Linked DNA regions of Lepisosteus oculatus. The protein of the gene in region 4 purifies or fractionates together with the protein of the main gene of each other region. This does not show direct contact. Links are inferred from orthologs where the notes say so. Each region holds a gene or a part of one and is shown on either strand. Other genes may lie near its edges. The genes, in order: parp2, hltf, xrcc1 and rnf146.

The links.
Region 1: the proteins of rnf146 (region 4) and parp2 purify together in Homo sapiens (affinity purification with mass spectrometry; 4 studies listed by BioGRID and IntAct, counting the BioPlex papers as one, with this or other methods). This does not show direct contact. The link is inferred for Lepisosteus oculatus from reciprocal best matches to the Homo sapiens genes RNF146 and PARP2.
Region 2: the proteins of rnf146 (region 4) and hltf purify together in Homo sapiens (affinity purification with mass spectrometry; 4 studies listed by BioGRID and IntAct, with this or other methods). This does not show direct contact. The link is inferred for Lepisosteus oculatus from reciprocal best matches to the Homo sapiens genes RNF146 and HLTF.
Region 3: the proteins of rnf146 (region 4) and xrcc1 purify together in Homo sapiens (co-immunoprecipitation; 3 studies listed by BioGRID and IntAct, with this or other methods). This does not show direct contact. The link is inferred for Lepisosteus oculatus from reciprocal best matches to the Homo sapiens genes RNF146 and XRCC1.

What each region holds. Positions count from the first base shown.
Region 1 is NC_090699.1:10,811,961-10,819,171, forward strand, and holds the start of parp2 (poly [ADP-ribose] polymerase 2), read right to left. Parts: upstream 3,016-7,211; 5' UTR 2,059-3,015; coding exon 1,983-2,058; intron 1-1,982. Other genes in the region: protein lifeguard 1-like, read right to left, coding at 6,928-7,065. UniProt on the Homo sapiens protein: Poly-ADP-ribosyltransferase that mediates poly-ADP-ribosylation of proteins and plays a key role in DNA repair.
Region 2 is NC_090708.1:14,815,800-14,822,754, reverse strand, and holds the start of hltf (helicase-like transcription factor), read right to left. Parts: upstream 3,012-6,955; 5' UTR 2,683-3,011; coding exon 2,582-2,682; intron 1-2,581. Other genes in the region: bdh1 (D-beta-hydroxybutyrate dehydrogenase, mitochondrial), read left to right, coding at 3,703-3,915, 6,953-6,955. UniProt on the Homo sapiens protein: Has both helicase and E3 ubiquitin ligase activities. Possesses intrinsic ATP-dependent nucleosome-remodeling activity; This activity may be required for transcriptional activation or repression of specific target promoters.
Region 3 is NC_090722.1:8,027,326-8,034,709, forward strand, and holds the start of xrcc1 (DNA repair protein XRCC1), read right to left. Parts: upstream 3,014-7,384; 5' UTR 2,557-3,013; coding exon 2,506-2,556; intron 1,366-2,505; coding exon 1,273-1,365; intron 708-1,272; coding exon 600-707; intron 1-599. UniProt on the Homo sapiens protein: Scaffold protein involved in DNA single-strand break repair by mediating the assembly of DNA break repair protein complexes. Negatively regulates ADP-ribosyltransferase activity of PARP1 during base-excision repair in order to prevent excessive PARP1 activity.
Region 4 is NC_090697.1:37,574,567-37,581,503, reverse strand, and holds the start of rnf146 (E3 ubiquitin-protein ligase rnf146), read right to left. Parts: upstream 3,023-6,937; 5' UTR 2,934-3,022; intron 885-2,933; 5' UTR 824-884; intron 1-823. UniProt on the Homo sapiens protein: E3 ubiquitin-protein ligase that specifically binds poly-ADP-ribosylated (PARsylated) proteins and mediates their ubiquitination and subsequent degradation. May regulate many important biological processes, such as cell survival and DNA damage response.

The DNA.
Region 1 (7,211 bases), on a different chromosome or scaffold from region 4:
AGAGAGCAGAGTCACACACTGCCACAGGCTCTCTGACAGAGAGAGAGCACAGTCACACACTGCCACAGGCTCTCCGACAGAGAGAACAGAGTCACACACTGCCACAGCCTCTCTGACAGAGAGAGAGCACAGTCACACACTGCCACAGGCTCTCTGACAGAGAGAGAGCAGAGTCACACACTGCCACACGCTCTCCGACAGAGAGAGAGCAGAGTCACACACTGCCACAGGCTCTCTGACAGAGAGAGAGCAGAGTCACACACTGACACACGCTCTCCGACAGAGAGAGCAGAGTCACACACTGCCACAGGCTCTCCGACAGAGAGAGAGCACAGTCACACACTGCCACAGGCTCTCCGACAGAGAGAGCAGAGTCACACACTGCCACAGGCTCTCCGACAGAGAGAGCAGAGACACACACTGCCACACGCTCTCTGACAGAGAGAGAGCACAGTCACACACTGCCACAGGCTCTCTGACAGAGAGAACAGAGACACACACTGCCACAAGCTCTCTGACAGAGAGAGCAGAGTCACACACTGCCACAGGCTCTCTGACAGAGAGAACAGAGTCACACACTGCCACAAGCTCTCTGACAGAGAGAGCAGAGTCACACACTGCCACAGGCTCTCTGACAGAGAGAGCAGAGTCACACACTGCCACAGGCTCTCCGACAGAGAGAGCAGAGACACACACTGCCACAGGCTCTCCGACAGAGAGAGCAGAGTCACACACTGCCACAGGCTCTCCGACAGAGAGAGCAGAGACACACACTGCCACAGGCTCTCCGACAGAGAGAGCAGAGTCACACACTGCCACAGGCTCTCCGACAGAGAGAGCAGAGACACACACTGCCACAGGCTCTCTGACAGAGAGAGCAGAGTCACACACTGCCACAGGCTCTCTGACAGAGAGAGAGAGCAGAGTCACACACTGCCACAGGCTCTCCGACAGAGAGAGCAGAGTCACACACTGCCACAGGCTCTCCGACAGAGAGAGCAGAGACACACACTGCCACAGGCTCTCTGACAGAGAGAGCAGAGTCACACACTGCCACAGGCTCTCTGACAGAGAGAGAGAGCAGAGTCACACACTGCCACAGGCTCTCCGACAGAGAGAGCAGAGACACACACTGCCACAGGCTCTCTGACAGAGAGAGAGAGCAGAGTCACACACTGCCACAGGCTCTCTGACAGAGAGAGCAGAGTCACACACTGCCACAGGCTCTCTGACAGAGAGAGAGAGCAGAGTCACACACTGCCACAGGCTCTCCGACAGAGAGAGCAGAGACACACACTGCCACAGGCTCTCTGACAGAGAGAACAGAGCCACACACTGACACAGGCTCTCTGACAGAGAGAGAGCAGAGTCACACACTGAGACAGGCTCTCTGACAGAGAGAGCAGAGACACACACTGACACAGGCTCTCTGACAGAGAGAGAGCACAGTCACACACTGCCACAGGCTCTCCGACAGAGAGAACAGAGTCACACACTGCCACAGGCTCTCTGACAGAGAGAGAGCACAGTCACACACTGCCACAGGCTCTCCGACAGAGAGAACAGAGTCACACACTGCCACACGCTCTCCGACAGAGAGAGCAGGGGGGAATGACACGGGACCCGATGCAGCCCACGGTGCTGTACAGGTCCGCTTGATTTACACGCCAGGCAGCACACCCCCTCTCAACGAGGGCTGCTCTCCAGCGGCCGAGACCGATCGCAAATCCCACGGCACGAATGCGACCGTGCCTCGCCGCCAGAGCTGGAGAACAATTCGCAGCAAAGCCCCGTTCGGCTAACCGAGAGCACGGAGCCGCAGAGTGGCGGAGAGACAGCCGGGAGGCGCCCTGTTTCTCCGGCCGGCGTGTGGTCCCTCACGCGTGTACACGCGTGTTCTTTCAGCCTGTTTCCTCTGCTGTGGGGGTCTCTAACAGGACAGCCCCCCAGTAAAACAAAACGGTGTCTGTTCCGCGAACTACCTGGTTTCTGCTCAGTCTGGGCTGTTTCTTCTGCTGAAACCTCAGTCCTGTTACGGCTTCCTCGGGTCCGGGGCATGGTAACACAGAAAATATATATATATGTGTGTGTGTGTTACCAGGTCCCTGGAGTTGGGGAGTTTCGGTGTTGTTATGTAGTTAACGGATAAGGTGGTAGTCGGCGCAGTAACTCTTTCTAGCTCTCTTGTTGCTCCGACCTACAGGAAGCGCGCGCGCGCGGGCGCCCTCCACTCGTCCTCGCCATTGGTCGACGTCGCTGTCAATTAGACTCGGTGGAGGTTCTCATTGGCTAACATGAGCGAATGCGGGACAAAGAGGCAGGGGTGTGCGTGTGTAAGCCCCGCCCCGGTGGACTACAATGGTTTCCCTGGGTTCGTGTGCTGAGGGCGGCCGCAGTGACACAACCGGCCGTTTCACTTAAAAAGATGAGAGCGGTGCTTTTCGCATTGGCCTGCGGGGAATTTTAGTGGTTGGCTTGGTTAAATTTGCTAGTGAATGCTTCTTTTTTGACTGCCACGGACACGAGTGGGCTGAGGTGGACGTCTTAACTGGCTTTTCGGATGGATCCCTGGGAACTGGCTCTGCGTGGGGCCGGTTAGCTCAGTTGGTTAGAGCGTGGTGCTAATAACGCCAAGGTCGCGGGTTCGATCCCCGTACGGGCCAGCGGGTCTTTTTGTTGTTCTGTCCCCCCGAACTATTTCACGTCGTGCACGCTCTTTACTTTAGCGTTGTACCTTTCTCTTTACAGCAACGCTGGAAACGAAACAAAAACAAAATAAAGATTTCCCCTTGTCTTTCTTCCGAAGATGAAGTGCGATTCAGACTGCGAACGGAAGTGTCGCCTGCGGTCGTGTCGCCTGCGGTCTGGACCCTGTGACCTGGCCTTGCTGCAGCGTTAAGGTTCACCGCCGCTCACACCGCGGAAGTACATAGCGTGCACCTGTAATGGCTCTGAGGAAAGGAGCAAAAGATAACAAAACACCCACTGGCCCGTACGGGGATCGAACCCGCGACCTTGGCGTTATTAGCACCACGCTCTAACCAACTGAGCTAACCGGCCTGCTGGAAGAACTTGCTCATGATAGTGCTCTCAGTGGTGATGGAGGTGATTCACTGAGCTTCCGTTCTCTGTGGGGTAAAGAGACTCTTCTCTTCACAGAGGGCGCCCCCACGTGCGGCTTTTCTCATCAACAGCTTAGACACCAGAAACAGACTGCAAGCTGAAAATAACGCTCTAACCAACTGAGCTAACCGGCCCCAAGCCACCCAACATCCAGGGAGCCGGTGGAAAAGCACGTACCGACGTCCATCTTGGTCCACGCGTGTCCGTGAGAGTCAGAAGCATTCACCAGCAAACTTAACCAGACCAGACACTAAAAATAACATCCCCCGCAGGCCAATGCGAAAAACGCTGCTCTCATCCTTTTAAAAGAAACGGCCGGTTGTATCAAAACCCCTGCCTCTTTGTCCCGCCCTCGCTCATGTCAACCAATGAGAGCACACGCACACACACACTTCGTTTTTTTTTTTCCGTGGGGTGGGGTAACGTGTAACGAGGTGCCGGTTAGCTCAGTTGGTTAGAGCCTGGTGCTAATAACGCCAAGGTCGCGGGTTCGATCCCCGTACGGGCCAGCGGGTGTTTTGTTGTCTTTTGCTCCTTTCCTCAGAGCCATGACAGGTGCACGCTATGTACTTCCGCGGTGTGAGCGGCGGTGAACCTCAACGTGGGAATCGAAAGAGCTGCAGCGCGGCCGGGTCACAGGTTCCAGACCGCAGACTGCAAGAGCAGGCGACACGGACTGGTCATCGACTCAGGATGGCCGAGCGGTCTAAGGCGCTGCGTTCAGGTCGCAGTCTCCCCTGGAGGCGTGGGTTCGAATCCCACTTCTGACACAGACAGCTTTTTCCGTTTGCCTGATGTTATCTGGACGCGAGGGCTTTGTAACGCGAGTGCACGTCGTGTGCGTGCTCTAGGACGAAAACAGTTTTGCAAAAGGCTCCCGTTCAGCGATGACATACTTCCCCAGCTGCATGACGCACATAGCTCATGGCAATGACAGCTGAGGAGAAAAGGAAAAGCCAGCGTCTCCCCGTCGGGGAATCGAACCCCGGTCTCCCGCGTGACAGGCGGGGATACTCACCACTATACTAACGAGGAGGACGGAAGGGGCACATCCTTCTTGAACTAGAGACACTGAACACGCTTCTCGGACAAAAGCTCCTCAGAATCGCCTCATTCACACAGGTCTGCTAAACAGTTTTTTTTACAGACTATACCAAACTGCAAGCACATGCAAGCTCTGCGGACCCGATCTTAATTGACCTTGTTTAATCGTTTTTCACAAAGTCTCATTGTATTATAGCACGTACTCCCGACGGTTATTTATAGGGTTGTATGTATATATGTGCGTGCTCTATTGTATCCATTTTAGTTAGTAAAATAATTTTAAAAGAAGGTTTCCAATATTCTCTGCTTTCTAAGGTGGAGGGCGTTTCAGACTGAGAACGGGAGACACCTCTTTGCACAGAGAGTTGTGGGAGTGTGGAGCGAGCAGATCAAGAAAGTAAATTAATTCCTTATGCTTACGTGTTTTTTGCTTTCCACTCAAAGTGCTTTACTGGTAGCAGACAGCAGAGTGTTGACGCCGGTTCACAGATGGGGATTATTTAGGAAGCCATGAGTGGACAGAGAGACAGAATTTGGGCAGGTAGGAATCCAGCCAGACGCCCTGAACAATCTGAAAACTACGTGCCCACCTCCTGTATCCCTGTTCTGGCTCCAGTCTAATTGGCAGTGCCCAGGTCTGACATTACTGCTCCAGCAGTGCCCAGGTGTGACAGTCCTGCTCCAGCAGTGCCCAGGTCTGACATTACTGCTCCTGCAGTGCCCAGGTGTGACAGTCCTGCTCCAGCAGTGCCCAGGTCTGACATTACTGCTCCAGCAGTGCCCTGGTCTGACAGTCCTGCTCCAGCAGTGCCCAGGTGTGACAGTCCTGCTCCAGCAGTGCCCAGGTCTGACAGTCCTGCTCCAGCAGTGCCCAGGTGTGACAGTCCTGCTCCAGCAGTGCCCAGGTCTGACATTACTGCTCCCTCAGTGCCCAGGTCTGACATCACTGCTCCAGCAGTGCCCAGGTCTGACAGTACTGCTCCTGCAGTGCCAGGTTCTGCTGCAGCCCCCGTTCTGTGGGCGACAGCAGGACCAGGTCATCTGCGTAGAGCAGGAACTTGATTTCTGTGTCGTATAGTGTGAGACCAGGAGCTGCAGACGGTTCTAACATTCCTGCTAATTCGTTGATATAGATATTGAACAGTGTTGGGCTCAGGCTGCAGCCCTGTCTCACCCCACAGCCTTGGCCTCTCTCTCAGGGTCCATAGGAGGGACCACGTCAGTTTTGCAGCTCACTGGAAGGGAGGCACCTCTGATGACCCAGTGTGCCTGACTGGCCCCTCCCATTCAGGGGGAAATTCTGGGAAAAGAGCACACAGCGCCACCTGCTGGTCCACCAACACCACTTCTCTAAAAAGTAATATTGTTGTTAATAATGCTTTCATCCTTTTTCTAACCACTTCACCAAGTACAGGGTCAGGTGGGAGCCAAAGTCTATTGCAGCAAGCAAGGTGCTGGGCACATGGCAGGGTACGCTCTGGTCAGGACACCAGTCCATCACAGGACACACACGACAGGACAGGACACCAGATGCAGTTTTCCCAGAAACTGATTGGCCTCACCAGCATGTCTTTGGACTGTTAGAGGAAACCCAGGCAAACACAGGGAGAACATTGACCACAGGGTCCCAGTACTACAAGGCAGCATGGCAGACCACTGTGCTACCCTGCTGTCCCACTGCTTATAATCATCACAATACACTTTATTTTATAAAGCACCTTCCATACCAAAAATATCCCAAAGCAGGGTTGATGGTAAAAGAGGATACATAGCCAGCAGCCATATCACCCTGCAACTCACAACTGTCAGCCCACTGAAGCTCAGCAGGTATGAGCCTGATCAGTACTTGAATGGGAGACTCCTGGGAAAAACTAAGGTTGCTGCTGGAAGAGGCGTTAGTGGGGCCAGCAGGGGGTGCTCACCCTGCGATCTATGTGGGACCTAATGCCCCAGTATAGTGACGGGAACACTATACTTTAAACAGCCGCCGTCCTTTGGATGAGATGTAAAACCGAGGTCCTGACTCTCTGTGGTCATGAAAAATCCCAGGGCGTTTCTCAAAAAGAGTAGGGGTGTAACCCCGGTGTCCTGGCAAAATTTCCCATTGGCCCTTACCAGTCATGGCCTCCTAATAATCCCCCTCTATAAATTGGCTTCATTACTCGGCTCTCCTCCCCACTGATAGCTGATGTGTGGTGAGTGTTCTGGCGCACTATGGCTGCTGTTGCATCATCCAGGTGAATGCTACACACTGGTGGTGGTGGAGGGGATCCCCATTACCTGTAAAGTGCTTTGAGTGGAGTGTCCAGAAAAGCGCTATAGAAGTGTAAGCAATTATTATAAAAACAGCACAATATAAGGACTAAACATATGACACTTTTCTTAGTGACAGCGTTCGGGGGTCTGTGATGATGCTGTGATAATGATTGCGTGAATGTTCGTAGTACAGAACTTGTGTTGTGTAGGTGTGCACGGTTTCCCAGTAGGGAATGCTGGTGTGTTCATCACAATGTGTGTATCACTGTATGTCTGTATCTCAGTGTATCACTTGATGCGTGTGTATCACAGTGTGCGTGTGTCACAGAGAGAGTGTGTCTGTGTGTGTGTAACATGGAGAGTGTGTTTGTCACAGAGAGAGTGTGTATCATAGAATATCTGTGTCACAGAGAGTGTGTGTGTGCGCATCACAGAGGGAGTGTGTGTGTGTCACAGAGAGAGAGTGTGTGTGTGACATGGAGAGAGTGTGTGTCCCAGCCAGTGCTAGTCGCTGAGCAGAAGCAGGTAGATGAAGATCATGCTGATGTCCAGGGACAGGACGAGGGCAGCGAAGCTGTGCTCCTCCAGGCTGGTGTCTGTGGGCTCTGTGCTCAGCACCGCCTGGCTGTCCTCTGCCAAACACTGCAGAGAGAGACGGAAGGGCGTTGTCGCTGACCGAGACTGACACAGTGATAGTGAGACAGTGAGACTGACACAGACACAGTGATAGTGAGACAGTGAGACTCACACAGACACAGCGATACACCCTCACACAGGAGAGTGCGGCA
Region 2 (6,955 bases), on a different chromosome or scaffold from region 4:
ATAGACGTAAAATTAAAATACGTACAGTAATAAAAAATAAATACATAGTTAGATGTGTGCAAAATATGCTCATAGTCACTGTAAAACAATAACATTTGTGCAAAACGTGCATAGGTATATACAGATTGAGTGCCCAAAAAGTACAATAGTGCAACATGCTGTCCATAGACGAGCAGATGAAGGGCTAACAGTCCTAGCCTAGGGCAGCGTTATACACCCTGACAGCCGCCAGGAGGAAAGACCTGCGGAAACGTTCCCTTGAGCACCGTAGCTGGAGCAGTCTGTTGCTAAAAGTGCTCAGCTGCCCAGTTACAGTCCCATGAAGTGGATGAGAGGCGTTGTTCATGATGGTTGTAAGCTTGGTCAGCATTCTCCTTTCAGCCACCACCTCCAGGGGGTCAAGGCTCAGCCCCAACACAGATCCACTTGATGAGTTTGTTGAGCCTATTTACATCTCTTGTCGTGATGCTGCTGCCCCAGCACACAACATCGTAGAAGATGGCCGCTGCCACCACTGATTCAAATAAAATGCGTAACAGTGTTCCACATACACCAAAGGACCTGAGCCTCCTAAGAAAATAGTTGGCTCTGACCTTTCTTGGACAGGGTGTCAGTGTTAACAGACCACTCCAGCTTATTGCTTGTAGGACTGCACCACCTCTATGTCCTCGCCCTGGATGGAAAAAGGGTTCAGCAGAGACTTATTCCTTCGAAAGTCCATGACCATTTCTTTAGTCTTGCTGGTGTTTAGCTGGAGATGGTTAAGATGACACCACTCCACAAAGTTGGTAACCAAGCTCATTTATTCCTCCTCCCTCCCCTAATACACCCCACAATTGCAGAGTCATCCAAAAACGTCTGCAGATGACACGCCTCAGAGTTGTACCTGAAGTCAGAGGTGTAAAAGGTAAACAGGAATGGAGCAAGGACAGTCCCCTGTGGAGCCCCAGTACTGCTAACAATCTGTTCGGACACACAGCTCTGCAGCCGTACATACTGTGGCCTGCAGGTCAGATAGTCTATAATCCAGGACACCAGGGGAGTGTCCACCTGCGCAGCTCTTAGCTTCTCTCTCAGTAATGGGGGATGGATGGTGTTAAAGGCACTGGAGAAATAAAAGAACATAACTCTCACAATGCTCCCCGTCTTCTCCAGGTGAGAGTTAGGTCTGTGTAGCAGAAAGATGATTGCATCCTCCACTCCCATGTGTGACCGGTAGGCGAACTGCAGGGGGTCAAGTGCTGTACTCACCAGGGTTCTGAGTTGGTCTAGTACAAGCCTTTCCAGAGTTTTCATCAGGTGTGATGTCAGTGCCACTGGTCTGTAGTCATTTAAGACTTTAGGGTGCCCCTTTTGGGGTACTGGCACCAGGCAAGGTGTCTTCCAGAGCCCTGGAACCCTTTCTAGTCTCAGGCTCAGGTTGAAGATGTACTGCAGCACTTCAACCATTCAATACCTACTTTTTAACCACTGGATCACAAGAGTGCAGGGGATCATTAAAGCAGATCTGTGAGATACCATCCACAGATACCATAACAGAGTACGATATGTTTCAATGATGTTGTATGACGATGAGAAATAAGGCTTTACAAATTAATTTCTAAATAACTTCACAGGAACATAAAAGAGCAGTAACGCTGTCAAATGTTCATTTAAATAGTAATTAATCTATATTTGGACATAGGTGTTGTAACAATAATTCCACTCTGCTCTCCTCCCCACTGAAAGCTGATGTGTGGCGAGTATACTGGCACACTATGGCTGCCGTTGCATCATCCAGGTGGGGCTGCACATTGGTGGTGCTGGAGGGGAGTCCCCATTGCCTGTAAAGCACTTTGAGTGGAGTGTCCAGAAGTGTAAGCAATTATTAATTATAATATTGAAGAACACATTATCAGTATTGTGAGCTACAGCACTAAAAAATTGATAAATGCAAATAATATTACAGAAAATTACTCCATTTCCCTAATGCACAATGTTTAGTACTTGTTAAATCGCTTAGACACATTCCTTACAGAGGAGCTTGTAAAAGCTGCTCTGTGTACCCTCCAATAATCTTGTTAGCTATACACAGCTCTTAAATTCAGAAACTATTTTAATCCCTTTCCCTGCTCCAAGCAGAATATGAATCTTTTTAGAAATCGTGACACTCCAGAATTACCAATTATTTTTAGAACCAACATTTTTTTTAACACTGATCGCTATTCAAAATAACAACACACTTCAAAAACACCACGCCTTGCAGAGAATAAGCTTGCACTGCAACACTAGTCCCAGAAAGAAATGCAAAACACCAGTTCCAAAACCGATACAGGTTTCTTACTGAACAAGGAAAATATTATTCAGTTGTCCATCACCATTGCAAACATTACACGGAAATACTATTTACAATAGCTTTTCAGACATCCCAACTTTGAAAAATGTATTTCAGCGAGGGGGGTCGTCCCTCCCGCGAAAACTTTCGGACCAGAGGGGGCGGGTCCCCCTCCGAAAACAAAATCACAGCTATATAATTAAATAAATCGCTGATAGATACTATAATATGTATGCATTATTCTATAAATGCTACAGTATAACTCACCAGTCCCGTTGAATAATCTCGCTTTCTTTGCAAACTTTCGTTGTACAGAGATGCCACTGGTTTAGCAGATTTAAGCGGATTCTCAGATGACTCAGGGTCATATTATATAATTAAATAATTCGCTGACGATTTCTTTCGGACCGGGGGTGTCGCCAACAGACAAATGTGGGAGCGGGGGGCGATTTCCGGCAGATTATAGATCACTTGAGGGGAGGCATGGAGGAGACGCTGACTTCCGAGAGACTTGAGATGTCAATACCGCATAATGCGCCACACGAGTTTTACGCTCAAAACCTATACACATACCCAAAACCCGGAAACAGAAACAAGATTTAGGATAGCTCAACAAATAAGAATTTGTCTGCCTTAGCTAAGCAGCGTATGAAAAAAATGCAGATATTTACTTCCCTTCTCCAATTAAAAATCAGAAGGCGGGATCAAGCAAGTAAAAAACCTGGGCGGAGTCAATAATATATGAAACCAGGGTGAGTGGGTTTAGTTACCTGTGAAATAGGCGGTACAGGAATTGAAGTTGTACACAGCTTTATCAGCAATACTGTTTGTTCCACCTTGATTATGAACCTTTGTTTTGCAAAACTCTGCCATTAAATTCTAACAGCTGCCTACAGTAATAGCAGAACTAAAAGGGGGTTTTCATCCAAAATAATGTTATCAGAGGTACTGGATGTGGCAGTGTGGGTTTTTCGTAATGTAGTTGCTGTAAATTGTGTGCTGGAGAAATCGCAGTTGGAAAAACGTGAGGACTTTAATTCAATAAATAAAAGCTGGTTAATGATTGACGTTTTACTGGAAACATGATCTGGCCACTCACGAGTAGAGTTGATTCCGTCCCCTCTGTAATTAATTAGACTGAACAGAAATAAAGGACGCACAGCACGTGGCAGCCCTAGCTTGCTTTCCTAGTGCTGAATTAAGTGCATGTTACTGTATGTGAGAATTCAGTTACATTTTATCAAAACATTAACTAAATGAAGCTGAGCGATTGGCGTTTAACTGGGCAGGAAGTGGAATTCTGGTGTGGTAGGCGCTGTTCTCTACTTTTAAATCGCACTGTTCCGGTCCAGATCAACACAAGCGAAGTCTGACGAGCAGCAGAAAACATGCCTCCTTTCCCTCTTATTAAAATGGCGTTCCTTCTACTTTTTTCTTTGTGTTTGACATTAATTTTAGGGTTCGGGCTCCCAGAAGCATTGAATTTCATTGTTAAATGCTGTGGGTTTGCAGAAGCCAGCGTAACCCACTGCATAGTCCTTGTGTATTTCATTTTCGTATTTTTTGTGGCAATGCCTTCCATCCCCAGGGGCTCTGTGAAAGTAAGTAATACTGAAGTTTTATTGTTTCGTGTGGCGTCAACGCCACAGCACTGTATTGTACATCGAAGAGTGAATTTGGCACCAGTCATGTATACATTAGTATGTAGTAGTATATACTGGGTTGTTGACGGTGTCTATTTTTATAAATAATGTTAATGCAACTTGACCTGGAAAAGGTCAACTTTGTATCTTTAAACTTTTTTTAATGATTTTGTTGAGCGTTTTCATTGATTCTACTGAACTGGCCAGGATAAAGTAACTGACGTACTGTATAAGAGGGAATACATATGTCAATATTCGTATTTTTTCCAGGACTTGTAATGTCTGCGTTTCGTACACGGATTATTTGTTATAAAGTAATTGAGCGAATTCTTATTGCTTAGCGACCTGCTTCTGCACAACAACGAAAGAGCAAAGGTGAATAACAGAATCGGCTTTGCTTAAAAAAAAAACAACAACTGAAAGGTAACAAATAACTCGCAAAGTAAATCTGTAAGCGCTGGCTTTTTTGGTTTCGTGCCCCTGGGAAGGTTGTGTTGAAATTAAGTTGAAAAGGCACTGACATACTGTATAAGAGGGAATACATATGTCAATATTTGTATTTTTACCAGGACATGTAATGTCTGCGTTTCGTACACGGATTATCAACTATTCTAGTGCTGTTCGTACACATCTGTTTTACGCGTATTATTTGTATGTGCTAAGGTATTTCATATTAAAAGCTAATCAAGTTCTCCGCCTATACGTGAAATTATCAGTACAATACACTGCATCTTCAGGTTTCATGTGAATTTACACAAATTTAAAATTAATACATTTTCTTCCTCTATTTGATTCTCAGTGGGAGGTTGGCATATTGCAGCCTGTCATGGATCTGGTGATCAATTAAATATTTTTATTTATTATTATTTTATCAATAAAATAATTAAATTCTCATTTTGGTGACCCACCCCACTAACTCTTAATGAGATGAGAAAAATTGTCAAATTGTGTCAAGCTACCAGTTCCTCAATAAAAAGTATTGTTCAAGACTGCTTAAAATACTGTTGTTGAGAAGGGTTTTAAAAAGGTATTGGATTTAAAACTGGCTTTAATTGCTTATATTCCAATTAGAACCACATTACAAACTGCTGTTGTAAGCAACTTATGACTTTCGTATTATGTGAAACATTTTTTTAATAGTTTTGCAGAGCAGTGAGATGGATAATAGAAAATAGTATACAAAACACCACACAGTTAATCATGCCCTTTACCTGTACGTTTGCTATGGGTTTTTATGTCCATGTGGGATTTGCCTTCTCTTTGGGCTATGCATTTCTTATATAAAACATTCTGAAATGTTTTTTTTAAGCATGTGCCAACATGCTAGTGCTGGTGTAATGTGAAAACGTTCAGAAATTGTTTTTGATAACTGGTTTCCACAAAAACACTATTAAAGAGAAATGGGTACAGGCAGGTCTTAAATGACACACCCTTTACTTTGCCCAGTTTGGCCTTATTAATATATTGAATACATTTCTTAATGTACTGTAGGCTATGAATTGGTTCTCATTTTAACATGCTTGGTCCCAGTCTGCAACAGGTGATTTGATGGAGTGTTTGAGTCTGTACACTCGGCGTGTACCAAGTTGTAAGCTGTCCCTCATCATTTCCTGTCATCTCAAGCTTACTAAATACATATTGAAAATGTCTTAGTCTGCACCTAATGTTTATGTTGTATAACAATCTACAAGAGCACGTTCAGCAATAAAATGATTCATCCACAGTGTGACAGAGAGCGCTACAGGAGGTCATTCTTGCCTTCTGCCATAAGACTGTACAACTCATCCACCTTGCGTCTGGGCAGAGGCAACATTGACAGTGACCTGTTTCTGGACTGAACGCATCTACACATCTACTGCTACATCTGTTCTCTTTCTTTTCCCATTTACAACCATTTTTTGTGCAATATATGCCAGGGACCCGTGCAATACATTTATATTTATATCTATATTTACATCTATATTTATATTCTTATGTGCAATATGATTTTTCTGTGTACTGTTCTGTTCTAGTTTGTTCTTTGTGTGACCTGGACTGAGTAACTCTTTTAGAGCACTCCTCACTGTATTGATTGTATTGTAGTATTATTATTATTATTGTATCATTCGTTACACTGTGTTGTCTGTGTTAAGCTGCTGTTGCACTGCAATTTCCCTCACGGGATCAATAAAGTATCTATCTACTACAATGCATAAAATGCAGAGCGGTGGCTCTGTGGCTGAGGATCTGCGCCTGTGACTGGAAGGTTGCCGGTTCAAATCCCACGGCCCGCAGTGGAATCCTACTCCCTTTGGCCCCTGAGCAAGGCCCTTAACCCCAACTGCTCCAGGGGCGCCATACATTGGCTGACCCTGCGCTCTGACCCCAAGCTTCTCTTCCTGTCTGTGTGTCTGTGTCTCATGGAGAAAAGCTGGGGTATGCGAAAAGACAAATTCCTAATGCAAGAAATTGTATAGGGCTAATAAAGCAACATTATTATTATTAAAACAATCTTAAAGCTGAATGCAAACACAAGCTTGTTATTTTTAAGTCTTTAAAAAAACCTCCCAAATTGTCAACCTTGATGTTAAATAAAATGGGTTACGATTACTAATTGGCTGAAAATATTCGCAATGTTATTTACAAGACTTCAAAATACACGTCCATTTTTAAAAGGCTCACTGAGAGTAGGAGGACTGAAGACAGCTGGGCAAGACTCACTGCCCCTCACTGTTGACATAAAATTGACAGCCAACTCTTAGAAAAGCTTAATGTCTATACAAATAAGTATTAACATCTTACATGAATAAAACTGCATGATTGGTTTTTATCTAGCAATCGATTCTCTGGTTGGATGGGAGCTAAACATACCCCCCTCCCCCCATTTACAGTACATGCACTACTAGAGTGAATTCATTTTTAATTTACACATTTGTTAATTATGCAATGTTTTTCAGGAGTGTATCTCCTGTGTAAATCGAGAACAACCTATATGACGTGTTTTTCCCCATGACAGACT
Region 3 (7,384 bases), on a different chromosome or scaffold from region 4:
ATGACCTGTCTATGAGCTTATCTTGCCTTATCTTCATGCTCCTTGTGTGACAACTGCTTTGTATGTGAGGATACAATGTGACTATTATGCTATGCATACCCTACTAACAGGCCTGGTTTAGTTACAAACAGAAAATAGGTTACTAGTGAGAAAAGGAAATGTCTGCAAAAATTGTTTGAAAGCTTGTTGCGGACAAAGTGTCGGACAATATTCCAGGAATTACAAGTTATATGCTCCTGCAGCTCATATATCTGCCTTTGTGGGAGATGTGAATGTTACAGTTATGTCAATTGAGCCACACTGAACATTTGTGGGACAAGATGGAACAACAGGTATGCTTTAGGGCTCAGAGGGACGGATGAACCGGTACATGTGTTCTGGATCTTTGAGAGGAATAGGACAGAATCCCATTATAAAGCATGTGCAACCTATTGTTGTCATGGTCTTAAATCATACACTGTAATTACGTTGGGGTATTGCAATCCTCTTCGCAATGGAAGATCTAGCCTGAAGGTAGACACCATTGTGCAAATGTCTCAGGATCTCTATCCATGATCTGGGGGTGTTCCTACTGACTGCTCAATACACATCCTGCTCACCTCATAGTCCTGGTCTTTCACTGAAGTGGAGTTCCCCACCAGCACCTCAATAAAAGCTGAGCCTTCATTACCAATGTCAATGCTGTGGATCTGCTCTGCCTTCTCAAACTGCATGGACAGAAAAACAAAACTTGTGTGACTGGGATATTGCAATAAGCTGTCTTTTCAGGCTTGTTATACATTTTACATGATGACATTTTTGGTAAGTTATATTAGCGCTACGAGAATAATAATTTCTACAGCTGTTTAAATGTTGATTTCAAGCAATCCACACCCAGACACATTTTTAACCTTTGCAAATAAGTAGTACTCCAGACCCATTTAAAAAATGGTAAATGTAGTGTTATGTAAACCGACTGATAACATCACTTGGAGATTTAGAAGAAACACCAAACAGATGTGAATCCACTGCATGCGTTTCCACCATTGCAAATAACATCAGCTTGCATCCTGATCAAGCTGCTGTAGTGGGAATTTTAATTGGATCTCTGTCCACACTTTGTTTCTTTGTTTAATAGAACATTTTACATGAATCAAAACATTCTGGGGCATTTATTTATTCCATGTCTGAAACTGAAGACTATCATTCCTAAACTTAATACGATCCTGGAGACAAACTCGCAAAGTTTTCATTCCCATGTGCCTATAGAGAAGAAGAATAGATTTTTCCTACCTGTAAAATGACAGAGATCTGTTTCTCTCCCAGCCTGGCTGCTTTCCATTTCCTGTATGTGTCGGCTTTCAGCAGATTCTCTGCCTTGTGCGTCTGGAAGCGAAATTTGAAAGTGACAAATGGGTCAGGCAGGCTGACATCCAAACGGGCTCGGGCTCACCACACACTCTAGCGATTCTTGAAAATTTTGCGAATACACACGTCTGTGATGTAGTTTGGAATGGCAGCACAAGTGATACATGACACAACAGACATGCAATCTCACTGATAAAGTCCAATGGCAGTCAGAAACACTTATTCTGAATGGGGTATGTGCATAAGCAAAGAGAGAGAAAATATTCCAACACAGTTAACAATTTATTATTAGTTCAGACCTATTAGAATACAAGGAAAATATTAAATTAAAAATATTCAAGTAACTAACAAGAAGACCAAGATTCATGTAAAGACACAAATAGTTACAGTAGTAAGAATAAACACCCTTTTTTCAAATTTCAGAAATCACACAGTCCCACTTACAGACAACAGGGAAACAGTGCAACCAAAGAATGTGAAAATGTAAATGTGAAAATTTAAAGTGGCTTCTTAAAATTCAGTGTGCTTATGTCCTGGCAAACACTCCAGATCCGATTTGAGTGCAGAAACAAGTTAGATAAAATTGTAAAGATGTAAACTGATCAATTAAAGCACTCAATTAGCACCGCAGATCTAGACAGAAAGAAACAGCATTTGCTAAAAACTGTACCCCTCAGTGACTTGCGTTAAGCAGGAGAACCTTAAAGCTCACTAAACATTTCACACATGCAAGGAATTACAGTATACTGAGGAAAAACAGAACCTTATCAATGATATTACGTTTAAAAAATACGTTTTACTACAATGCAACAGGGTTTCGGTGTGTTAGAGTGAAACAGAACCGATTCTTCTTGTAAGCGAAACTGCATTAAAGGACACATATCAACAACGTGAACATCCAAGCATCCAATCCACTCATAGTTTAGTTCACCTGAATACGAACATAAGACATGTAAAAACATAACTTTATTCTATTGCTTACCTATTATTTACAGTTTGCAAATATCATAAGTTCTGTAAAGGAAACGTGTCTTGGGAATTATTAAAACAGTATTGCATAATACATATAGCACTCTTACACAGTATATCAGATATGCGTACGCGTCTCTTTATTTGTCAAAGTCGGGAGGCTTCACAACCACACAAAAGTTTACTTACACTGTCCTCGCTGCTGCAGGAGACAACGTGTTGCAATTTAATCTCCGGCATAGTTTAGAAAATAGCTATAAAGTTGAATTGTCGTTGGGGGTTAAATAAATACGCATTTGCTGAAGTGAGCAAACGAAAATCATAAAACGCGTGTTGCGGACATATTGCACACGATTGGTTTATGGAAAAATAACAATCGGTAAATGAATTTTAAGTGCGTTAGGAAAAGTGCACCTATTCACCTACTGCACAGCACTCATTAGACAGGCCATCCGACATACAGTACAATGACCACCTCTCTTTATCCTGGATTTTAACTTGTGTCAGGCGTTAAAAAGTCTGGAAGAGGTTGTGAGTTTTACTTTCTCCTACAATAGTGTTTGGTTACAAAAACGCCAAAAAATGTCCGATAACGAGTTCTACTGTTACTTTTATTCAATAAAAATCCTTCCCATTTCCAACATCTCCTTCCAGCTCAGTTCCCTCTTTTTGCTGGCGCTCCTTTCTGTTGTCAATTGTGAGAACCAACCAGAAACTATTTCCGGGTCAAACCAGGCAAAGCCAGCACCAGCCGCCATCTTTACGGTGGTCGTGTTGAACTGTGGCACATTAGATCATTTACATGCGTTGCTCTCAATTAGAAGCTAATGGAGATGGCTATGAATATGGTGACTTTGTTAAAAAAAAAATATGACATTGAATGCAACCCAAAGCAATTCAAAGAAATTATTGAGGCAATTCCACCTGCTCTCCTAGCTTTGGTAAAAAAAAAACGTCCCTATCCAGAGAAATATAATTCCTCTACTACCAGAGATCAAAATTGGAACTTATAATATATTGGAAAAAAAAGTAAATACATCTGTACTATTATGGCTGAGAGATTCTTCCCAGCCATCAAGGATAGATTATTAGAACTGAATGCATTACTCTCTCCACGCCACCAAAAACCAAGGATATTCATTTTAAAATACCGAATAACATATACTGTATACCTCTAAGGAATTTCTGAGAATTCCTCAGAAATTACATTTTTTTTCCTCATGTCACCATTGAACAACTTTCTGGCACTCTGTTTGTTCTTGGCTATACAACAGTAATATCTGTGTACATTTAACTTTTAAAGATATTGTTCTCTGTGTCTCGAATCCAAGCAAAGAAGTCCGTTTAACGGTTAATGTTATTCTCTTGTTTGCAAAATTTCACATACACACGTGTAGAGTAAAAAAGAATCCTATAAGCTTTAAAGAATTTCCTAACTCATTCAAGCTATACTCTAATTTACTGAAAATATTTTAAAATAAGCATGGTGAGTTGGTCTACAAAAGTCTTTTAGCATATAAACTTATGTAATGTAACCTCTAACACCACATAACCTCTGTACTATGGACAAGATGGTTTCTTTTTTTTGTGTTTTTTTTTCTTTTTTCCTCCTGTTTCATTCACTTGTTGCTACCTTGTTGTGTCATGTTGAGACATCTGTATATATTTCTGTATATGTACCCCTGTTTGTTGTATTTCCTCCTTTTGCATTTAAATCTATATATATATTTTAATTTACATGCGTTGCAGCACTGGACGTTTTCGTTAAATAAAATGACGCATTTATTTTCTTGTGCTGGTCACCACATTCGGCTGGTCTTTGTTGTTTTAGCTGAAATGCTCTGGGAGAGATGGTTCTTTATTCTTAGGTAATAAGCAAAAGGCCAAAACCTTCAAAGCAGGATTGCATTGATATAGTTTTGTGCATTTTGATAAAGAAGAACAACCAAAAGCTTACACAGCATGCAATGGAAGAATTACTTAAAAGCAAATGAAAGGAGGGTTTTTAATTATTAGTCTTCTTGTTGCAAATGTAAATGGAGCCTAATTCAAATATATTTTTGGGAGCACACGTACCCCTACATTTAGGCCACAGAAGGGAATCTTTACAATGAAGATTTATAATCAATTCAAAGAAAATGAAAATAATCACAAATGGAGGCTACCTCAGGACCTGCTGACATGTAACCAATTTCTTACAATAAATTATTGTGACTGATGATCATTATTTTTTCCCTAAATGTAATATAACTTTTTTTACTTATAATTTAAAAAAAGCCCTGCCTCACACAAGTAACCAGTCACTGTAATGTATTACTCTTCAATAGCAACTTTTCCCAACAGTGTTAAAATAGGTACCTATAGAAGACGTTGGAAGTGTCTTTGCAGCCTCTGTCTGAATTAAGAGTAAATAGTAAAGAGCCACAAGAGGCCGCCAGAGACCACCGAATAGGAGCAGAAGCCGAAGTAAGCAGCAAGTGAGTTTTTGTTTTTAAATCTGTGAATCTCATAGAGACAAAGTGTAGAAGCTATTCGAGAAAATGTAAAGATTAACTGGAGGACATTAGGAGGTTTAACAATAACCTTCTGATCCAGAGTTTAGCAAAAAGTTACTCAGTTACTCATAACACAAAGCTACTCAGGCCATTCTACCTAATAACTGGGAATCTTGCAAACATAGTGGACCGTAAAGTTTGTAAATAGCATCAAAATAATAAATGTAAAATTATACGACCAACAAAAAGCAAAATGTCAGTCTGAAATAGTCAGTTTATTTCATTAACTATGTATCACAGTAAATACAAAAGAAGTCTTCATCTTCCAGACAATTCATCAGCTGAAGAGTCACTGACAATGGTTACTATACAGTACTTGACTATGGATATATTTTTGAACTCCAAAATGATACAGCTAATTACTCAGGAAACCGGGATACAGATGTTTACTTATAATCTTAGGTTATTTAATATCAACAATAATTAAAGCACTTGAGGAAATGGGAAATAGTTGCATACAGTACAAAGAGAGAGTTGTGGAAATGTGGTGCAAACCCAACTCATCTTTTACGTGCCAAAGATCTGAATTTCCTCCTTTTGTTTGTTTCTGATAATACAAGATAGTACAACCCACTGTATACTCAAGCCATAAAACAAAGCTTTTGTTATACACTCACAATATTTTCTTGTTTTGAGAAAATAATTAATTTGTGTTTTTTTGCATCAATGGGAACCTCAAATATGTGGATCAAGGAGGTCATTTTCGGGTTTCAAAATATTTTCTTCATTGAAACCGCCCCCAAATCAGATTTTGATTAACAAAAAGACATAAAAGGTTTTCATATAAAATCTAAAGGCCAGAACCAGGAAGAGATATAGTACCATCCTAATTTCACCCTTGAAAATAAAATGCATAAATACACTCCAAAGTGTAATTATGATTTTTGGTTGGCCTTAACAGACTACCAACAAACTCAAAGATGTTATGCGGGGAATAGAAAAAAAATACAACGTTTTGAAAAGTGGCCTTGTTTTATTTTCAAAGAAGAAAAGTGTTAGAAGGTTTGCAGTCAACCAGAAACACTTTGGACAGTGTTCAAATTTCAAGTAAGCAGTCACTTAAAAAAATCACACTCCATCTTTGTGCTTGTGAGTTTTTTTCAGTTACAGCTTACCAAAAGACGGTGTGTGTGAAAATTTAAAAAATAAAAAAATAAAACATGTAGTAGCCTAAAACTGTGATCTTAGCTCCATAGGGGTGTTTATTTACAGTATGCAACAAAACAAAACATAAACACTGCAGTCTAGTCTGTGAATGCTGCTAAGGTTACTAACAGTATGATGTAGTCTGATATACAGTATACAGTATATACTGTATAATATAAGAAAGTGTATGTACCGTACGTGTGTATATGTGTTGTGAAATCTATTGATGGTTAAGGTCAATTGCAAAACCAACAAAATCTGGGACTCTGCTTATAATTTTACTATAAGATTTCTAAATAATGTTTGCTTTGCTCTTCTATGTTTTCCATGAACAAAAGTCAAATTTCAGTGTAAACGAATTAGACAAAAACCTTCGAAAGAAAGATGACAACAGCTCAAGGTGAACTACACCTGTGTAGATAATATAAAGGGCTTTAGCAACTGATACATTGTGTCAATCAAATTGAATTAATCCATTGTTCAGTGTTTCTAGTTATTAACATGATTTATGCCAGTCTACAAAACCAGACAGGTAAAAGATTACTTTTTGCACAAGAAAATAAATACAGATCTACTGTATCTGTGTTTCTAAAACTGTCCATTTGTTTAAAACAGAATAGCTACACCATAGACTTCTGCATTTTGCATTCGAAGACAGCATTGTATTTACTGTAAAGTACATTTTTTCTAGAAATGGTGTGGATAAGAAAAAAATATTACTTCCATATTGTTCATGAAATATTTAATTAATGATTTTGCTTACTATAACCCTCATATTCTCAACAACATCAACAGAGACATCACATTTTATACCTTTCATGTACGATTTTTTGTTTGTAAGAGTTATTTCATCATAATCAATCATTTGGAAATGACAGAATTTTAGCAGCACTAAAAACCTTCACCACTGATGACCACTTCAGATCTTGCAGAACAAGTCAAATAAAAAGAGCATTCATTATTTTACCAAATACAGTAACTAACACAGAGTGTGTCAATAATTGACTGTACAGTATATAATGACAAAGTAAACTGAAATCTTAATCTTGTTAAAATGCCACAGTACATTTGTGTACTGTTAAGGCAATACGCAAATAAAATTAGACAAGATTGAATGATGGTAACTTTTTGGATTGTTGTGCAGAACTGTATGACATTAGTTGCCTGGTCTAATTTCTTGGGAATTGTATTAATTTCCTGGAGGAGGATATTTTAACACATCAGAGAAGGGACTTTAAGGATATATTAAATTTGAACTAATGGTAAATAATAGCATGGTAGTACAGTGGTTAGCATTACTGCCTGACTGCACTGGGTTCCATTCCTGGGGTGTACTCTGTATGCAGTTTGTATGGTCTCCCCATGTT
Region 4 (6,937 bases):
TCGTGGGATGTTTTTTTTATTCAGCATGTAAAATACATGCTGAAGTGGATCTTAATCTGGAGTTTGATTTGTCTAATCTATGATTTTCAATTCTTTTCCTAATAAACTTGGTTGCATTGGCCATATATTTTGGGTGACCATTAAACTGCATGGTAAAGTGCTGCTCCATTAAGTGTGTTTCTGTAAACTTCAGAATTCATTGTTTTTCTTATTAGATACATCAACGATACATTTCACTGAGCCGTTTTCAGAAGAGGAGGACATGTCTTCATCTCCACCACGCTTCACAGATAAGGTGATATTCTTTAAAACATTTGCAGTTCCTTTCTCCACACTTAACAGTTGAAAAGATTGAACTTGGTCCCACTATCTAAAAGTTAATGATGATTTCACTACCAGCTCTTGTAGGATTTTCTTATCCAGTACTGATCATTTTTGTGTTATCAGCTGCAGATGATTCCCTTGGCCAACCAGGTTTTGTCTTATTTGTAATTATGCCTGGTGTTTTCTTCTAATTAAATTCCAAATTGTTAATCTTGGAATCCCCAAATTAGAGTTCATATTTTATTTACCTCACAAATATATAAATATTTGCATATGTTTGGGGGCTTTCAATGCCATGGGTTAGGATGCTAAAAGTGATTAATAACTTTAATAATGTCAAAATTGTTTATTTTTATGTATTGAAACTAACTTGATTTCTATTTGTTCATTTCGTAATATGCACATTTTTTTACATATGAAGCAAGTTGTTGATTTTTTTCATGTAAAGAGCATAATATCCCATAAAATATGACTAAAGAAAGACAGATGCAGAACTTACGATATACACGGTAGTTACAGCACTTTCATCAAGAGGATATTTTTCTTCTTTAAGATTCTCCCTGATAAAAGAAAATGTTAAAACCTATAACATGAAACTGATTTTTCCATGCCTCCCACTAGTTAGACAACTTGAGACCTGCCCTCTAAACCCAGGGTAACTATATAAAGATATGAAATGCATGTATATACACAAATATAAACAATTATCAATCCACCCTTTTAAAATCCTCATCATCACATAAAAATGGTAGGCAAAACAATAATCAAACCTATCTACACCCATCTGAAACAAAAAAATCAAAATGAAAAAGTTTAGACAATTATCATGGTGTATCATGTTTAGAAACACATCGGTAAAGAAAACTAGCACCTTTCAATAATCTTTCAGGTTATTAATATTTTACATAAACTTGCAAATGATTCTTCATCAATCATCTCCCACTACTTAGCTCATGATATTAAACAAATTAGTTTTTTCCATTGCCTCCTGCTGTACATGCAAATTAACATCTGTCACATAGATATGAATACCTTGAATCCCTGGTCTTAAGTACGTTTATTTCTTACTAAACATTCCACATGTAGTGTCACTATCTCCAGTTTCTCTCAAGGTACTAGCCCACTTAAGAAAACGCTTTAAAAACCTACTAAAATAGGTCTTCCTTTGTTAGAAAAGAATTTACTTTGTTTCACCCAAGCATTAACCTACCATAACTTATTTAAATATACATTTATGTACTGATAAGGCCATACAATGTTTTGTTTTCTGCCCTGTATATTAACGCATTCTGTTGCGACTGTCTGCATGGTGTCATTTTCTTAATATATAACTACATTTTCTTCAAATTCGTGATGCCCGTTTTAGAGGACTTTACTTAATGTAGTAACAAAGAGGTCATAAACAGATGAACAAGTAAATCAATCTAATCACCACTATCAAACCTACTATATGATATATATATAAGAACTATAAGTTCTTCTTATGAGGAGGGAGAAAAGCATTCAGAGGAAATGTGAAACTGTTTAAACTGTTTTCTTCCTACAGAAATGAATTGTCTGTAACTTGATGCATTTATAAATTCGAATATTTCATATCTGAATATTAAATAAAACATGTTATCTTTATACACTCTATCAACAGAACATTAAAAACGTAATTCCCACAAAACATTAATTTTATCAATTATGTAGAATACTTAAAAGTACATACGTCACTGTTTCAACATTCTTTTTAAGTTGGTAAACCAAATCAGGTTCTTTCAAGTCCTCTTTATAAGGAATACTGTGTTTTGCAAATTAAGTTGTTTGGGATGAGCTCAACCACCTGTATTTTTAGTTCCTACACCAAACGGTAGCGGAGTTAATACCGCGTTCTCTAGCTATCAATTGGATATGTGCAGAATTATCTATCACTACTGTGCTGCTCCATTTCTTAATGTGTTCACACCCTACGGTAACGATGTGCATGTATACATACACACAGAATCGAGACTCAGGCTCAGCATTGTTATTAAAATGTAAACTATGCTGGTACAAACACAATCTTCACAGTAACGAGGTCTTCCTTAACAACAACGGATTTTCAACAGAACTCAGCCACCCAGTTCCGGACCGCTTGAAGGACCAAACTGCATTCTCTCTGAAGCCACTGCCCGTGAGACTCAAAGACTCGCCGACACTCTTCGTTTTTTAAGGTGGCTACAAAAGGACGTGAGGAAACCGTAGGCTGACCATTAAACACGACGGAGGCCCGACAGGTTAAACTTGAAATAATTACATTTCACGAGGCCTTCACGCAGGCGGGTAGTATCATCGAGAAGGCAGAAGTGGTTAAAAAGACAGGTGTCGTTTAGGATTGCTTGATTTCGTACAACGACCACTCCCAGGGCCCACCACAACAACAATAAGATATGTTGTCTGGTCAGGGTGATGACAGCCGCTGGTAATAGCCCGGCCAAGCAGCGCAGACCCCGGCCGCTTCCCAGACCGTAAATAAAAGGGCTTCTACTCATCGGCCGAACATTTCTGTCTAAAACAACGCCCCCACCATCTTATAACAAATTCGAAATTATCATTCGCCCTATTTACAGATTTCTCAAAATACTCACCAGCCCTTTTTTCTCCTCCAGCTCCTTCACAAGACGCCGAAGCCACCAACAATACGCATCATCCTCAGCGTGCTGACGATTAGGGCGTTTTGACGTCATTACGTAGATACGGAATGCGTAAAGGCGGAGCATCCGGGTGTTCCAGTCACCTGGAAATGAAATAAAATTAAAAGTCACCTGGAAATAAAAGGCAAAGGAAAGGTGTGCTTATTGGGTGGTAGTCTCTGAGATGTTTTAGTGTTTTATTTTTGGGGGGTTGAAACGCTTAAACATTTCGTGAGTTTGGTTTGGATATGTTTAATTAATGAGTTTTCTATTAACATCATTGATAACGTACAGGAAGCATTGTCCTGTTGTGCTTGATCCTTTACAGCCTACGCATACTAACGCAGCTACCCACCTGAACTACATAATCCATTATTTTTGTTCTCTTTCCCGTTTGCTATATACTTTTAAAGGTGAACACTGATCCATTTGATAAGTAAATAATGCTTATATACTGTTTGAATTAGTACTTATTTAAAAAAGCGAACGTTAATTTGTTTTATGGTTTAGTAATACGTTGATAAAAGTAACGATCGCAGCCTGTCGTATCTTAAATGTAATAAAAGAGTTCTGACGTAGGAATTATGTTTTCGACTTCAGTACGGTTTACTGTAATAACTGGAGTGGCGGGGCTCCCTGCAATAAAGTAAAACTACCAATTTCACGATTTGTACTGTGTAAATATCAAATCACATATCAAACACATTAGACCTTACCCTTACACTGTAGATCTTTTAGTTCTGCTTTTGTTATCATGAATACTATTTTATTTTGCCGGTCTTTGTTTGAGAATAATGCCTTGAAAATCAAGGATTCTGTGGTCTACTGACTTAACCAGTATGTTGTGGCCCGTAAGCACTTGCTGACATTTGGTAACCTGAATTTCTTGATCTAGAGATGAGCTGAACTGAGTTCTTATGATGGCGATCTACATTTACCTTCTCCAGTGCTGTCATTTAAGGATATTTAGGACTAATAGTTGTCTAATGAATTCAAAGGGAAATCATTGGCAAACTCTGGTTGTCGCAACTAAATTGCTTTTCTTTACTGCTGTTGTATCCTTAAGCAAAGTACTTCAATAAATTACTCCAGTAAAATGCCCTGTTGTAGAAATGGATGTAAATAAAAGTAACTTTGGACGGCTTAGGGTGTCATCTACATAAAGAATGAAATGAACATGTTTTATTAAAAAAATACTAATCTTGAATAAAAAGATAAAACCATTTTATATGATAAACATTTGTACTGCATATTATAGAGTTTGTCATCACGTTCATTCTCCTGTATGTTGAGTAAACAGAAGTGGGGTTTAGCTTTTCCAGAGCACTAAAAGGCTGTATTTTTAAACTACATTACAACAGTGAGGCCTAAATGAGTCTTGCAATCACAGAAAGGAAGAAGACTTAGGTACATGATTTATTTTAAAACATTATTTTTACATTATATATATTTTTTCAGTTCTAACCTTTAGCTTTTATCTCCTTTAAATATTTTAATCATTGACATTTTAGGACTTAACACTGCAGCAGTGACTCATTTATGGCTCAGGAGAGAGGAGACATAAACTGTCCTCTGATGCCTACCAGTAGAATTGATTTGACACAGTGCACAGCGCCTTGTTTTTTACATTATTCTTTAACACCATAGCACTATACACAGGACATTTGTGTAATAACTTGGTGTCGTAAACAAAAGTAAGTGCCATGCATAAATCAATACATGCAGTACAGTCCATGTAAACATTCTGTTAGAGCATCTCACTCATTACCATATAAAACCATTTTGAGTATTACAATGATATTAGCTGAACAGTTGCAGTACCTTTGAGCTATACAACTTCTATAATATCATTCTCTTAAAGATAATTGTGATAGGTCATCCTGTCTTTAGCTGTCTTGTGAGGCGTGAGCATATGAACTTTCCAAGCTTATATAATCCAAGCAGCCAGATCACCCTGCAACTCACACCTGGCAACTCACTGAAGCTAAGCAAGTGTGAGCTTGGTTAGTACCTAGATGGGAGAACTCCTGGGAAAAACTAAGGTTCTGCTGGAAGAGGTGTTAATGGGGCCAGCAGGGGCGGTCACCCCCTATAAAGTATAATGTTAAAATGCACCATCCTTCAAATGAGACGTAAAACCGAGGTCCTTACTCTTAGTGGTCATTAAAAATCCTAGGGCGTTTTTTAAAAAGAGTAGGGGTGTTACCTGGGTTTCCTGGCCAAATTTCCCACTAACCTTTATCAATCATGGCCTCCTAATAATCCCCATCTATGAATTGGCTTCATTACTCTGTTCTCCTCCCCACTGATAGCTGATACAGTATGTGTTGAGCATTCTGGCACACTATGGCTGCCGTCGCATCATCCAGGTGGATGCTGCACATTGGTGGTAGTGGAAGGGAGTCCACATTACCTGTAAAGCGCTTTGAGTGGAGTGTACAGAAAAGCCATATATACGTGTAAGCAATCAATTATTGTTATTATTATATTGTAAAAATATGCCAAGAATATACCCGAGCAGTTTGTTTAGTTAGAGGCACCTAATGTGTTTCTTCTCTTACACACTTCTGGTTAAAAAGTAATGAATAAGGGGCAAACAGCTGTGAACTAATATTTATTAAAAATAACAATAACTAGACAACACATACAACATAAAACATAAAAGTTACCCTATTAACAAACAAGGCCTTTCAGAGGTCTGAATCCTGACCAACTAGAAAAACCCAAACTGCTAACCCTGTATTCAGAAATTCTCTATCATACCTATATCAGACCAACACAAGAGATAAACCTGCATCTTAAATAAAACAGATTTCAACCCAAAGCTAAATTTATCTTCCCATAGATTAGAAAGCTCCCAGAGTGAATGGGAATCTACCTCCCTGTTCTAAAACATGTACAGAATATATTAACCAGAAGAAAACATCTTTAGCCTGGGAAAAGGAATGCGAGGAATGTTTAGGAAAATTCCTCTTGTTTTTTAGGAAATTAGAGTTTCTTAAAATAACAGAATGACAAGCTCTCTGAAACAAAGTTCAAATACTTTTTGCTAGAATCTTGTCTTTAAGACACATTTGAACAAAGTAGGTCACCTACTGTAGCATGTTTCGTCTCCTCTGTCTGTTCCTTTTTCTGTGTGTCTCTTTTTGTTTCTGCTTGTCTTTTATCCTGTGTTTCTGGAGTGTGGAAGACTCTTAATGTAAATTAACCAAGGTAAACGATTCATTTTGATCAATGTCTCTCAGACCCCATAGAGCTCAGCAACTGCTTTGACCTCTGTCCATTGTTTCTGCTATAGGTCCTGACACACTTTGATAGTCATAACAATATATAGAGAGATTATATATACATCCGTGTAGTTTGCACCTGTGTCCTTTAATTCACATTTCATTGTTTTTTTCTGAAGAATTCCACTGGATTGACTTTGTTGATCATTTTAAGGACTTTGAATATTTTCATATGGTTCCATTGTTTTCAGTGTTTAGTTTCTTTTGTCTGTTAGTGTTCCACATTCTGGGAAGTAATATCTACAGTATATTGTAGTTCTACACAGTATTGTGATATAAGGTGTTACTAGCACATTTTACAATTTGAATGTAACATCCCTTAACATTTCATAACTAGATATTCTAAAATTTTTATTATCTTTTATTTCTTATCCACAGTGTCTGGAAAACATAAATAATATGTCACCATGGACACCTTTTTCATGAAGTCCTGTCTTCACTAACCTCTTCAGACTTAGTGATTTCCAATTTTACAGCATATATACAGTAACTTATGTTTTTGCTACCTGTGCATTATACTCTGAATTAAATATTCAGTCTATACTAAAGATCATCAAAATGTTTAATTGTTTTCATTCAATGTCTGCATGTATATTTTAAAAAAAATAAGATTATTGAAGATGGAGAAAATGTTTTGGTGTCATTTTGATAAACTGATAATTCATGACTGTG